2 linked regions of the Drosophila melanogaster genome follow. The protein of the gene in region 1 purifies or fractionates together with the protein of each later gene. This does not show direct contact. Each region holds a gene or a part of one and is shown in the gene's direction. Other genes may lie near its edges.

The links. The genes of interacting proteins can lie anywhere in the genome.
Region 2: the proteins of RhoGAPp190 (region 1) and PlexB purify together in Drosophila melanogaster (affinity purification with western blotting, with the first as the bait; one study listed by BioGRID). This does not show direct contact.

The regions. Positions count from the first base shown.
Region 1 is NC_004354.4:17,648,590-17,656,035, reverse strand, and holds the start of RhoGAPp190 (Rho GTPase activating protein p190), read left to right. Parts: upstream 1-3,473; 5' UTR 3,474-3,537; exon of another isoform or gene 3,538-3,945; intron 3,946-4,725; exon of another isoform or gene 4,726-4,850; intron 4,851-5,135; exon of another isoform or gene 5,136-5,316; intron 5,317-5,797; 5' UTR 5,798-5,807; coding exon 5,808-7,090; intron 7,091-7,230; coding exon 7,231-7,446. Other genes in the region: IntS2 (integrator 2), read left to right, coding at 1-253, 578-2,214, 2,281-3,145. UniProt on the Drosophila melanogaster protein: GTPase-activating protein (GAP) for RhoA/Rho1 that plays an essential role in the stability of dorsal branches of mushroom body (MB) neurons. The MB neurons are the center for olfactory learning and memory.
Region 2 is NC_004353.4:39,526-46,855, reverse strand, and holds the start of PlexB (plexin B), read left to right. Parts: upstream 1-3,077; 5' UTR 3,078-3,431; coding exon 3,432-3,942; exon of another isoform or gene 3,943-4,082; intron 4,083-5,570; coding exon 5,571-7,330.

The DNA.
Region 1 (7,446 bases):
CCATGTGCCCAACGGACATCGCATCATCTGCGCACTGGTCGCCAACTTTCCGGATTGCTATCGCGACGTTGTGTCCCATGTGATCGCCAATTGCGACGAGGATGGCAGCGATGGCAAGCACCGGTTAATGCTGCTCATGGGGCTCAGCGAGATGAATCCCTCCCAGGCGCTGGCCAACAGGTCCATGTGCGTGGATATGCTGAAGGTGCCGTCGTTTATGCTTAAGCTCACGCTCAAGCATCCCGAGGATCTGGTGAGTAGGGTAATATTGACCAGTAAGGTGCAGATTTACCACAACACTATAATCGTTAGGAAATTCTTTGCATTTCATTTAAATTTAACGTACATAAGAAATGTTTTTTGATCATATTTTGTTGATTGATCTTTTTTGTTTGGAGTACCATTCATTTGGAGTTCTGCTTATTTTTGTGTAACATGTGTTAAGCAAAAGCAAAAGCGAGAAAATGTTGCTTAGCTATCTCGCTCTAATTCGCTAGAGCGATTGAATCTTATTTGGACGTATGACAATATTTACGAATAATGAGATAACAATGCAAACTTCAACCACTCCCCACAGATAGCCTTCCTCACGGGCCTGCTGCTGGGCAATGACCAGAATCTGCGCTCCTGGTTCGCCGCTTACATCCGCTCCAGCCAGAAGCGGAAGGGGGACGCACTGAATCTGGTGCGCGTGGAGCTGCTACAGAAGGTGATTCAAACGACGACCAATGCGGCGGAGCTGCGCGACTTCAATCTGCAGGGCGCGGTGCTGCTGCGTCTGTACTGTGCCCTGCGCGGCATCGGTGGCCTGAAGTTCAACGACGACGAGATCAATGCTCTGTCGCAGCTGGTCACGAGTTGTCCGCAGGCGACGCCCTCGGGCGTGAGATTTGTAACGCTGGCGCTGTGCATGCTCATCGCCTGTCCCTCGCTGGTGTCCACCATTCCACTGGAGAACAAGGCTGTGGAGTGGCTGCAGTGGCTCATACGGGAGGATGCCTTTTTCTGCAAGCGCCCCGGTACTAGCACCTCGCTGGGTGAGATGCTCCTGCTTCTGGCCATTCACTTTCACAGCAATCAGATCTCGGCCATCAGCGAGATGGTCTGCTCCACGCTGGCCATGAAGATACCCATCCGGCCGAACAGTACAAACAGAATCAAGCAGCTCTTCACACAGGACCTGTTCACGGAGCAGGTGGTGGCGCTGCATGCGGTTCGCGTACCCGTCACTCCGAATTTAAATGGCACCATACTGTGCTACCTGCCGGTGCACTGCATCCAGCAACTGCTGAAATCGAGGACATTTCTCAAGCACAAAGTGCCCATTAAGTCGTGGATCTTCAAGCAAATATGCAGTTCGGTGAGGCCAGTGCATCCTGTGATGCCGGCCCTGGTGGAGGTCTTTGTCAACACGCTGATAATACCCAATCCCACCGGAAAAGTGAATATTGATCACATGCACCGGCCCTTCACTGAGGCGGAAATTCTGCACGTGTTCCGCACATCCAAGCTCACATTCTTCGCCGAGGAGCTGCCACCGATGGCGGAAAGTCAGGAGCTCAACCAGATCGAGGTGACGTGTCCACTAACCGCCCAGCTGCTGATGATCTACTACCTCATGTTGTACGAGGATACGCGACTGATGAACCTCAGCGCTTTGGGTGGTCGCAAGCAGAAGGAGTACTCCAACAACTTCCTGGGCGGACTGCCACTGAAGTATCTGCTCCAGAAGGCGCACCACTACCACAACGACTATCTCTCGCTCTTCCATCCGCTGCTGCGTTTGATTATCTCCAACTATCCGCATCTCAGCATGGTCGATGACTGGCTGGAGGAGCACAATCTGGCCCAGGGCAATTCCACGGTGGTGGTAAGCAAGCATGAGCTCAAGCCGGAGACCCTGGATCGTGCACTGGCCGCCATCCAAACGAAACCGCATCTAGCCATCCGCGTGTTTAAGCAGCTACTCCAGATGCCCCCAGAAACGCAGGCGCAGTATGGACAACAGCTGGTGAAGCATCTGCCGATGGTGTTTGCCAAGTCGGTGCCGCGATACGTCAAGGATCTGTACAACGATATTTGGCTGCGCCTGAATGCCGTGCTGCCCACCACCCTGTGGATCATGTCGCTGCGAGCGATTACCAACGGCTCGGATACGATGGATCGACGTACCTTTGCCAACGAGAGTCTTCTGGAGCCCATGGAGGTGCTAAGGTGGGTTGCCTCGTCATTTTCGTGTGTTGTTTCCTAAAATTCTTTCGCATTCCTTTTGATCAACAGTTGTCCACGCTTCGTATTCTGTTCGCCCTATTTGCTGATGATCCTGCTGCGCATTCTGAAGGGCAGCCTAGCCGCCTCGAAGACCTATCTCAACGTGCACATGCAGATGCAGCAGAAGCAGGTGCTGGACAAGAATGGCATGATGCAGACGGATGCGATTTGGGAGGACCTAAGGACCACGCTGATTGCCTCGCAGGAGAGCGCCGCCGTGCACATTCTGCTGGAGGTGCTGGACTACATAGCCAGCAAGGCAACGGATCGGGTGTCGCATCTGGAGCTGCGTGAGATACAGGGCATCATTGGCACCTATGTGCATCAGGCATTCATTTCGGAGCCTTCGCTGGCGAAACTAGTGCACTTCCAAACGTATCCAAAGTCGGTTATTCCCATGATGGTGGCCAGTGTGCCATCGATGCACATATGCATTGATTTTGTTCACGAATTCCTCAACGTGACGGAAATGGAAAAACAGATCTTTACCATCGATCTGACCTCCCATCTGGTGCTCAACTATTCGATACCCAAGAGTCTGGGCGTCTCGAAATTCTGCCTGAATGTAATCCAGACGACGTTGTCCATGCTGACCGCATCGACCAAGTGTAGATTCCTGCGCAATGTGATGCCAGCGATGGTTCGTTTCGTGGAAACGTTTCCCATTCTGGCCGACGACTGCGTCAACATCCTGATGACCACCGGGCGCATTCTGCATTCGCAGTCATCGCTGGGCATGACCACAATGGAAATGCCACTCACCGATAGCGACAAGCTCTGCACGTATCGGGATGCCCAGCTGCACATCATCATGATCGAGGACGCGTTTAAGGCACTGGTCACGGCGGTCATGAAAAAATCGGACCTGTATTAGTTGGACTCGATCCCGCCTTGTTTTTCATAGTCGTAAGCAACCTTTCCCCACTCCGCCCCCCGGCTGATTATAATAGTGCTTGTAAAATTTATAACAACATTGACCAGAATAAATACTTATTGCAAAAACCATTTCTATATAACTAATTAATTAATTGAGTTTAAATTTGGCGCCTCAAATAAATATATAACTACGCAGCTGTTATCGGAATCTACTTTTATCGATAATATACTTTGGTTAGCGAGTACACATACCAGATATATCTATCGTTCCCGGCCATGCCACCCATACGCGTATCGGGTTATCGATAAAAACTAACAAGCATCGACATTAGTTCCAGCTCTAGTTTTTGTTGTTGTTAAATTAAAGCTCGGATGTGAATTACAATAATTGTGAGTAGCGTTCGTGCGTGCGTAATATGCGAATCGACTGGCATTCGGCATTGAGTTTTGTGTTTTGATTCCTGAATCGAGTCAGGACGTATCTGACCTGCTTTTTCAGTGTGCGTTTACGATGCTGATTCGTAATTGTCCTTTGTATACGTTGTGTACGCGCTGCTCCTCTCTCCTCTCGCTCTCCCTCTCCCGCTCTCCCTTGTCTTGAGTGTGTGCGCCTGCTGTGTGCGTGTGTGTGAGTGAGTGAGAGTTCCATGGTGGGAAAATAATTATTAAAGCAAATACAACAAATACAATTGCTTAGTATTTTGTCAAGTGACTGGCTGGAAAAGCCAAGAAGCACGGGCTTCAAGAAAAAGTGTCGCCGAGGCGGATTAAACTTGAATTCTTTGTGCGCAGCTGCAGGTAATTGTTCACACACACAGAACCCACGCACACACACGCAGCCAGCGAGCACGCAGAGAGAGCGAGATGCCCCGCTGCTGGGAGTGTGTGCGCCAGAGCGGGATGGCTAGGCGGATGCGGCAACAGTGTTTTTCTTTTCTGCAACAAATCTTAAAATTCGTTTCCAAAAATTGTATGGTGTTTTGTCTCTCGTCTTTGCGCTCTGCCGCTCCCGCCGCGCCCGTTTGTGTTTTTGTAATTGTACCGTTGCACATGCACTTGCAGTACTCTCTCTTCTCCTCCCCTTCCTCCTTTCTTTTTGCCTTTGTCGTTGTTGTTATCACTGGATCGTTGCTCTCCGTTTCTTGCGCTGTGGCTGTTGTTGTTGTTAGTTGTTAGTTGTTGTTGTGCAGCGCGGAGAATGTACAGGAAATCTGTTGCAGATCCAATTTCGCTTCTGCGCTGCACTTGCCCAGCATGTGTGTGTGTGTGTTTGCGGTGGTTTGTACGCCGGAAAAACTCAATTAAAGGCCAGTGGGGAATTTATTATTTCCACTCTCATTGAAACGCACAACCACACACACCCACATTGTTGCACTCCCACTCGAGGATAACAGCAACAAATTGGAGTGCACTAGCAACAGCAACAACAAACACATTCACATCCGAATCCACCCACGCGCTCTCTCTACTTTCCACTCTCAGTCGCTCGTGCTCGCTCACTCTGACTCTGATTCTCTCTCTTTAGAGAGTTGCGCCGTGTCGTTTGCAGCACCAAAAGAAGCGCTGCGACAGAACAACCGCCGCAGTCAGGACGGAAAAAGGATTTGTTGCAGACTGACTTTCCCTACTTGCCGAAAATGTTGTATAAAAACTAGCCATATAAATAAATACAAAGATCAAACTAGCAACCCAAAAGAAAGCAGGTAAAAAAGAGCCCTGTGCATTTTTTGTGAAATCGCGATTCGCGTATATTATTCGCTGGCCAAAAATCACATGGAATGAATTTTCGGGCAGCGCCGGCATAAGAAAATCGCTTGCGCGTTTTTCTTCTCCGTTTCTTTTTTTTTTTTTGTCACATCGCAGCAGCCAATCTCTCGCTCTCGCTCTCTCGTGTTTTTGGACCCCCAATCCGTGGATGTATCCGTAACTGCGTAGTTGTAGCCAAAAGGAACTCATGACAAAGTCCTAGACTGGCGAAAAGTGTGCGGAAATGTGAAGGTCCTGCGGCCAATTGGAGCAGACGGCGCGGAGGACACGGGGCGATTCTCCAACTCGAAGGTTATCTTGGATAATAGTCATCGGCTGGCATCGCAAGCCAGCCATTTGCCGTGAAAAAGTGACCAGAAATCGACGGTTTTCCATTCCGTGTGTGTCCGGAGAAACTGAGAGGTTATCCCTGAATATCCAAAGATATCCATAAGCTGACGTTTTCACGAAAACACATTTGTATATATCGAGCCGAGCCAAGGTCTATTCTACGCTATTTTTCTTTCGTATATCCCTATAATAAGGAATATATCTTTATGTGAAATCCTGAAAAGCATATTATCCATATGCATATTATCCTTTTCATACAACGTTAACAGGTTATCTCCTGTGATATTTTAAAATATTACCTTAACAACCGATTGAATGAATCAATTTGCGATGGATACAATGTTACAACATTGTGTCATGTTGATAGGCATGTGAGGAAAAGCGCCAGTAGATAACACCTTATCGATATGATAAGGCACAATCATACATTTGAACGAAAACACCTGCAGAATACCAAATCCGGAATTACCTATTCCATAACACTTTTAGCATTTATCTGCGAGTCTATAAGCCAGGTATCTAATTCTCTCCTTCGACTTTTGAATCCTTGCAGGAACGTCAAGATGCGTCAGTTTAACATCTCGGTCATTGGACTATCCGGGACCGAAAAGGACCGCGGGCAGGTGGGAGTGGGCAAGTCATGCCTGTGCAACAGATTCATGCGCCCGATGGCCGACGACTACTTCATCGATCACATATCAGTGCTTAGCCAAAGCGACTTTAGTGGCCGGATCGTGAACAACGACCACTTCCTTTACTGGGGCGATGTGCGCAAGACGACGGAGGAGGGCGTCGAGTACCAGTTTAATATCATCGAGCAGACGGAGTTCATGGACGACTCCACGTTCCAAGCCTTTAAGGTGGGAAAGATGGATCCATACTCAAAGCGGTGCACGGCCACCAAGGTCTTCTCCGCGGAGAAGCTAATGTACATATGCAAGAATCAGTTGGGCATCGAGAAGGAGTACGAACAGAAAGTCATGCCCGATGGCCGGCTCAGTATCGATGGCTTTGTTGTCGTCTTCGACGTTAGTCCAGTGCCCAATCGCAGTGTGGAGAAGCAGGTGGAGTTCGTGCAGAATGTCATCGCAACCATACTAAAGAACAAGAAGCCACTGGTGCTGGTGACCACAAAGAACGACGACGCTTATGAGTTGTATGTTCGAGAGGCGGAGAAAATTAGCCAGCGAAAGGACTACAAGAGCACTGTGCAGCTAATCGAGACGTCGGCCCACGAGAGCATCAACATCGATTTGGCATTCCTCCTGCTCGCCCAGATGATCGACAAGGTTAAGAACCGTGTCAAGATCATCTCCTACCAGGAGTCGGCCAAGTCACGCAAAGAACTGCTGGACACACGATCCGAGGCGGTGACGCGACTAATACGCAACCAGATCACCGACTATCACGTCCTGTGGTCGCAGGGCTCCAAGATGCTGTCACAGTATCGCGAGTGGAACGAGTTCCTCAACATATTCGGCCACGAGGCCGGCCAAAAGCTATTCCGGCGGCACATGAAGAAGCTGCGCGACGATCATCTGAACAAAAAACTGCATCAGTACTTGGATAAGTTTGCCCTGGCCCTGGAGTACCTGCTGCCGGACATCGGGGCTTTGAATATCAGCGATGACGATGCTTGGGAGTGCGCCAGGAACTATCTGCAGAATCACATCGAGTTCGAGCAGTACTTCTTCGAGTGCCCGCAGGCCTCGTGGACGGAGCTGGTGGACATGGACGAGGCGGAGGATGAGGCCCGCATTCCCTTTGATGTGCTAGAGACTTCCGAGGCAGAGACTGTCTTCCGTAACTACTTGAACTCGGTGCAGCAGGACAAGAAAAAAATTGGGTGAGTTCAGACCAAACGTGTAATTTCATTAAGGCATTTTACAAATGTAATGTATTTTACTGTAATTACTGTATTCATTGATTCATTGAACTCTCAGTTATATATAAAACCTTTCTATACCATTATATAATCATCCATAGATGGAAGCAGCAATTCAAAATGCTACTTGAGGAGTCGGGCTTTGTGACGCCCGGCAAGCAGCTGTCGGAGGTGCGCGTCCTCTTCATGGGACGCGAATGCTTTGAGGCGCTTTCGGAGCACGACTGCCAGCAGATCTACGACATTCACCAGGACGACATCATTGAAAAGAGCAAACAGAATTTTGTGGAGCTGCTGCTGGAACATGCTCAATATTT
Region 2 (7,330 bases), on another chromosome or scaffold:
GAATTTTTAATTATTATTTTATTTCATCATATACGATACAAAAATGGCGAATATCCATTTCTTGTTTCTTTAAACAAAATTGATTTCGGCCCGAAAATCGTCTTCTAGCACAACTACACACACATACATATATCTATTGTTTTTACTCACACAAGCAAGCAAATTCTATTTTTAGATTTCTTATGCTCTCAGCGTAAGCGAGGGGACAACAGAGCGCAATTTTGAAACCAATGTATGGCCGTTACGCGTCTTGTTATTCCAGTGTCTTTGACCGAAACCTACAAAGACAGAACGCTATAGCTTATTTCCTCGACTAACAGATATCTCTTACTTAGACAGTAGGAGTAAGAGGTCGAAATTTCGGATTATGGATTAATAAAATATATGTATTTTAAATTACAATTTTATAGCAGTTCGATCTGTTTCAATTACCTTAAGAAACCCCTGAATATTTTAAATTTTAATTTCATTTTTTGAAATATTTTTTAAGGAATTTAGAAAAAGAATAAAAGGTTTAAAAACTCAAGTAGACGTTTCATTTTGTATTTAAAAAGCACACACTTAGCTAATATTTTAATTGATTTTTTAATTATAATTGGTTTTTGGTCAGAGTGTTGTTTAGTTTTTAAATAAACTTCTTTCGATTTAATTTTGATGTATGTATGTTGCCCCTTGCATTCTTCATAATGGCTGCCTTTAGTAAATATATTGGTCATTGTACTATAATAAATAAATATAATTATGTGTAATATAAAAATAACACATTTTTCGTCATGATTCTTACATTTTATTTTCACTTATATATGTTATGTTGTCTTATATTTTTTATTAAAAGTTTATTTTGTAGTGTGCTCGATTTTTAATCCAAAACTGTGTTACATAATGAGACGTATTTTTAATTACAATGAAGAGGATCAAAAAATTAAAAGATTACCATTCCTTTTTCGGAGTAGACAATGTCACAAGAGCTCGTGCTTAGCATTTGTTGGGGTCAATTGCTTCCAATTTTTAAAACCAACGAATATTTAAATATTTTTTTGTAATCAGAAATTTATCAATAGATTCTACATGACCTTGCTTAATTATCACATAAAGGAAAATATTTGCGCGGTTTAAGAGCTGGAAGTTCCTAAGTTTACCATTAACCTTTTTATTGATATTATTTTGTTTCGCTTTTTAATACTGCATTCTTAGCTTCACGGCAGCAGCGTTGCCAATGTAGATTTTTTCCTACTAGAATAAAAAAATACAGAATAAGCAATCATTTGCGTCATTGTGAGTTGTGAGTGCAAACCAACAAAACTGGAAAGGTGGAAACTAATTTATAAAATCAAAAACGTTTTCCCGATGACAAGCGATTTGTTCTTAGCTGGGAATAACACTATTATAATAATAATATTATACTTATATAATTCCTAATAATTTGCTCCAAGCATACATTTTTTTTTTTGTAAAAAGAAAATTAAAATTAATAAAAAGTAAGTAAGTAAGAGCTGCGTATCATTGTGCCGTTTGATATTCCAAATTCCTAATAAATTATTCTCTTATTGAGTTGAAAAATATCCATGTTTGTCATTATATGTGTTGTAAAGATTATAGACAGTTTAAGTGTACACATTAACCTCTTTGGTCAATCTAATCTAACTTTTTGGTAAGAGATGGTTTATCTCTTTAGCATCTCTTATCGCAGCATTTTCTGCGGCAGGTCTGGTTATGTTTCGAGTGTTCACGTCGGCTGTTAACGGATTTTTGATACATTGTTGTTATGTGTAAACAGTTCTATTTATGTACTTGTACATGTTGCACAGCGCAAATATTGTCGATTAACCATGGTTTCCCGTGCTAAGTTTCGATGTGATGCCAACCAAGTATAAACTAAAGATCCTGTGTTATACCAAAACGAATTCGGCGTTGTCAAGATCGATGTTCCCGATTGCTCTTCAGTTCACAAAGAATTTTCACAGTAAATAATGTGATAGCAGCATAAGTTTCATTAACTATCGCTTTGAAATATAGTCGGTTAACCGAAGTACACCCTTGCAAAGTGACTACACAAATGGATTGATGAAGCATTTTTATAGGGGTCAATATCCAATGCTAAGTGTTGAAAAAAATCCACAAATAAAACTTCAATATCTGTAGTGGTTCCCTAATTTAACTTATATATTCGGAGAATAAATGAAATTGTATATACATATGTACGTATGACAGGATCAGAAATCTCTCTGAGAATATATAAAAATCGAATCTTCAATTCAGTCAAAATTTAAAACCCACCGATATAATCTATTTAGTGATACTTATTTAACTAAGTGTTAATAATTTACAGGTCTTAATGACGGTTGGTCTTAATTTACAGTTGTAGAGAAATTCAATAAATTATTAATAAGACAATTGATTAGCAAAATAGCCATTCGTTGGACAAATTTTCCAAAAATTGTTGAATAATAATAATCAAATTTTTTAAATTTATATAATTTTAATAGTAAAAAAGGTACATAAGTAAAATTAGTATAAGTATATACATAAATAGTCCCAAACACTACGTGGCGTTGAAGCCTCCATGCCATGAGAAACCCTTAATGAAATAATTTAACATTAAACATGTTATGATTTTAAAATAATTTTATAAAATTTTAGCCATCGTGCCACATAAATCAATGTTGTTCAAAACTTTGTGTAGAGATAGGTGGGTCTGTAACACTCGAATCAAAAACAATATTAAGATAAAAATAGCGCGCACGGCAAGTGTTGCATGGAAGAAGATGAGATCAATTTAGATTCTTTGGAGATTGCTCTTTTTAACGCGACTACCATTTCATTGATATTATTTTACAAAAATGTTCCTGGAACATTTTAGACTCCATCGGTGGTGTCTTCTTTCTTTTTTCTTTTAACATTAGCCAATTGATTGGATGTGGAATCAGAACTGAAAACATTTAAACGATATCTACATAAATACTTCCGAGGTTTTTAATGGTAAGCTTCCCTTTAATGTGCTCCTTGTGAATACAGCATTACAATGCCCTCTAGCTCGATAGTTCAATTTGTATGCGATAGGCTGATACAGCCGATACTAATAATCTGCTCTAGGACTGATAGTGTACACACAACGTTTGAGCGTTGCCTAAGAAGTTTTTTTTAAATAAATATTTGTTTACATTGACTAATCGATTTTTTGTGTTAAACAACCTTATAAAAAATGCGCTAAACCTAAAATAGCCAAATGGATCATTTTAATTTAAAAATATTTATGCACCTACAGTGAATCAGCGGCATATAAAATTAATTCGCATTAAATTCAATCGATATTAAAAAGTTTATATATTAAGGAGAGAGAATGTAGAGCTAAATAATAATAAAAATGACATATGGGGAATTGATGCCCAAACTCAACTACAAACTGATCATACACAAAACCACAAATAAATATGTTGCGAAAGGAATTGTATTGTGCAAACATTATACATGTTTTACATGTACTGTGTATTATTATCATACTCGGTTCTCAGCATTATTGCGTTAACTGCATTGAAGAACTGCCGGCTCAGGCGTTATCTCCCTTAAATGACATAGTCGCCCAGTTTAACTTGCCATCAATACCAGTTCAATCAACAGCTTCCAGCTATGGCAATCGATCAATTGGAAACAATATAGAAAGTGTTAGAGACTCTCAATCTAAAAATTATTTTACTCACATGAGCTTCGACTTTATGCACAATGTTTTGTTTGCGGGTGCTACAAATAAAATACTTAAACTTAACGAAAACCTTCGAGTGCTGGCCGAGGCTGTTACTGGGCCGTTACATGATTCCCCGCAATGTCACGCTGGAGGCTGTCCGGAAGATATTGAGACATCGCTTGTCAATAACTTCAACAAAATTCTAGTAGTAAGCTACGCTCACGATGGTATTCTCATAGCGTGTGGAAGCATTCGACAAGGTAAAATAGCAAACACATATCAAAATAAAAATAAAATACTTAAGTCGGCGACTTCGTATGGGACCGAAACTCCTGACATATCGTATTGGTTTATAGAAGTTATTGGTCATTTTTTGTAGTCATCGTAGAACAATGTCGCAGTGTTTTTGAGCTCCACATAAAAAAGCGGCGAATATAAGTAATTATTCAAAAGTGCGGAAGGAATATGATGATAAACAAAACAGGATTTTAAAATGTTATAAATTAAAAAATCTATAGTTGAACTCTTGAAACAATTTGGGTAGTATTAACGTTAAAGTATTAAAATAAAACAAGATAATATGCTATAGTCAAGATCTCCGATACTCAGCTAGTGTGAATGCGAACTCGAAATCGAAATTTCATCATTTTTCTGGGATATCGATAGATATTGGGGAATAAAAGAAGAAACAATTTGAAAAATGTTCAATAGTGTGGGCGTGACCGGTTTGGCGGCTTTAGGGAGTTAGAGTAGGCGTGGCAAAAAGTTTAAGCAACTAATAAAATTAAAAAAAATATTCTAAAATGTTTGCAAAAATATGGGCGGGCAGTTTTGGGCATAATATTACTTCAATCATGCGATGCGAATCGTCTTTAAAATACTTTTCAACGAATCAGTTAACAATTTTTACTGTTCCTGAAATCAATTCTGATCGAATAAACGAATTTACATATTTGGTAAGTTTTGGCCAATTTCGTAGCAATATGATGAAATTGCGCTCTTTTTTAGGAATATCAAATTGGAATATAACAAAAAAAAAACTGAAACTAAACAACTGAATCTAATGTGCATTTTAAATAATAAAAATGGATCATTTTATACATCATATTAAAATTAAAAAAATTTCATAAAAATAATACGTAGTAGAAAATAAAAATTTTTAACATAAATAAAAATATGAAAACTGTTTATTGCAAGTCATATGTATCTTGAGGCACGAAGTGCGGACACAAGCACTCAACAATCATTGCCTTATTAATTTTTCACACGTCGAAAGCTGAATACTCTAATGAATATAATAATATTATAAAGTCATTTTTGAAATTTTTTTTTGTGATAATATGTACATAGGTTTGACTCTTTCTAATCTATTTTCAAATAATAATAACGTTAAGGCAATGCAAAACAAGAATTTTTCGCATGGTGCCAATTGATCAAAAATAATATAGATTTAAAGTCTATGAACTTCTAAGGTGAAGGGCATATATTGTCAAATTTACAATGCATGAGCACACGTGTGCACACACACAGATGTCTGGTATCACTGTATGCGTAGAAAAGAGCTGTTCGTTGTAGCGCTCTCCGCTCTCTCGCTCTCGAACAAAAATTCGAGAGAGCCTGGAGCAACCTCTAGAGCCACGGCGAGAAAATCGTGGGCTAAGGACAGGCAGACGGACATGAGTAGATCGACTCGGTTAGTGATCAAGATCAGGATTTTTGATATTTTATAGGCTCGGTGACGTTCCGTTCTACATGTAGTATACATTTTTACTTTACAAGTTACGGGTATATCAAGTCCAATGGATACTATGACTTAGGTGTTATATTTTGTCCTTAAAATAGGTTTTAAAAAATTCCGCGATAGTAATAAAATTATCTTTATTTTCAGGAGCCTGCGAAATTTACAGCCTGCCACGTTTTCCGGCAACGCCCCAGTTTTTTGCAGTTCCATTGGCTGCTAACGATGAAAACGCGTCTACATATGCATTTGTAGGTCCGGCGAGATATGCGTGGAAAGAAGAGGATATTTTATATGTGGGGACAACATTTACGAATGTTGGTGATTATCGTCATGACGTGCCAGCCATTTCGTCCCGCCGACTTGATGATTTAAACTATGCTGAATTTTCAATACAGCAGTCAATTATAAATATCGATGTAAAATATCGGGATCATTTTCTAGTCGATTATATTTACGGCTTTAATTCTTCTGAATATGCGTACTTCATAATTGTTCAAAAAAAATCACATTTAGCTGATGAGGCCGGTTATGTAACACGCTTGGCACGCATTTGCATTACAGATCCTAATTACGACAGCTATACTGAAATAACTGTTCAATGCACTGCAACTGAAAACAATGTTGACTACAATATTGTAAGGGATGCGAAAGTAACTCCAGCCAGCCACAAATTGGCGCAAAAAATGGGCATAAAAAAAGACGATCACGTTTTAGTAACGGTTTTTTCGCCCTCAAGAGAAATAAGTAATCAGCCAGAAAGTAAGTCTGCTATGTGTATATATAGCATTAAAGATATTGAAGACATGTTCATTGAAAATATCCATCTGTGTTTTAACGGAACCACAAAAGATCGAAATTTGGGCTATATATCCGGCACCATTAATGATGGCAGATGTCCAATAGTTGGTTCGCTCGGTAACATTTACAACTTTTGCTCTGTGGGACTTAAAATAAGCGGAGTATCCCCAATCACTGCACACGCACTTTTTCATTTTGATAATGTTTCAGTTACGTCAGTCACAGCAACTTCAACGACTGATCAGCAGCATTCTCTTGCATTTCTTGGAACGAACATGGGAGTAATCAAAAAAGTTTTATTATCTGGCCAAAGTCCGGGCGAGTACGAGGAAATAGTTGTGGATGCTGGAAATCGTATACTACCAAATACAATGATGTCGCCAAAAAAAGATTTTCTTTACGTACTTTCTCAACGAAAAATAACTAAGCTTAGAATCGAACACTGTTCTGTGTACACGAATTGTTCCGCTTGCTTAGAGTCTCGGGATCCTTTTTGTGGATGGTGTTCCTTGGAGAAGCGGTGCACTGTACGATCAACATGCCAGCGAGATACATCTGCGTCGAGATGGCTTTCATTAGGTAGTGGACAGCAATGCATAGAATTTGAATCTATTATCCCAGAGAAAATACCAATTTCTGAATTATCGCACCTGCATTTAATAATTCGAACTTTGCCCGAACCTTTTAATGCAAAATACCGATGTGTTTTTGGAAATTCCACCCCCATTGATGCCGAAATTCTGGAAAACGGACTCGGATGTGCTACTCCCCCATTAGATGAAAGACCATTAATACCAACAAACACTGATCATATTTTGGTGCCATTGTCAGTAAGAAGTTCGGAGACAAATAAGGATTTTGTATCAAGGAATTTTGCTTTTTTTGACTGCTCACATCATGGAAATTGCCAGGAGTGTCTACAAAGTTCCTGGGGTTGCAACTGGTGTATTTTTGATAATAAGTGCGTTCACAAGTCTTTGCAATGCCGTAACATAGAAAATGCTGTAAGTACTGTTGGTCACTGCCCCCACTTAAAAAAAAATCGTCCGGAAATACTTCTACCCGTAAGAGTGCCAATAGAAATTCGGCTAGAGATTGAAAATTTACCA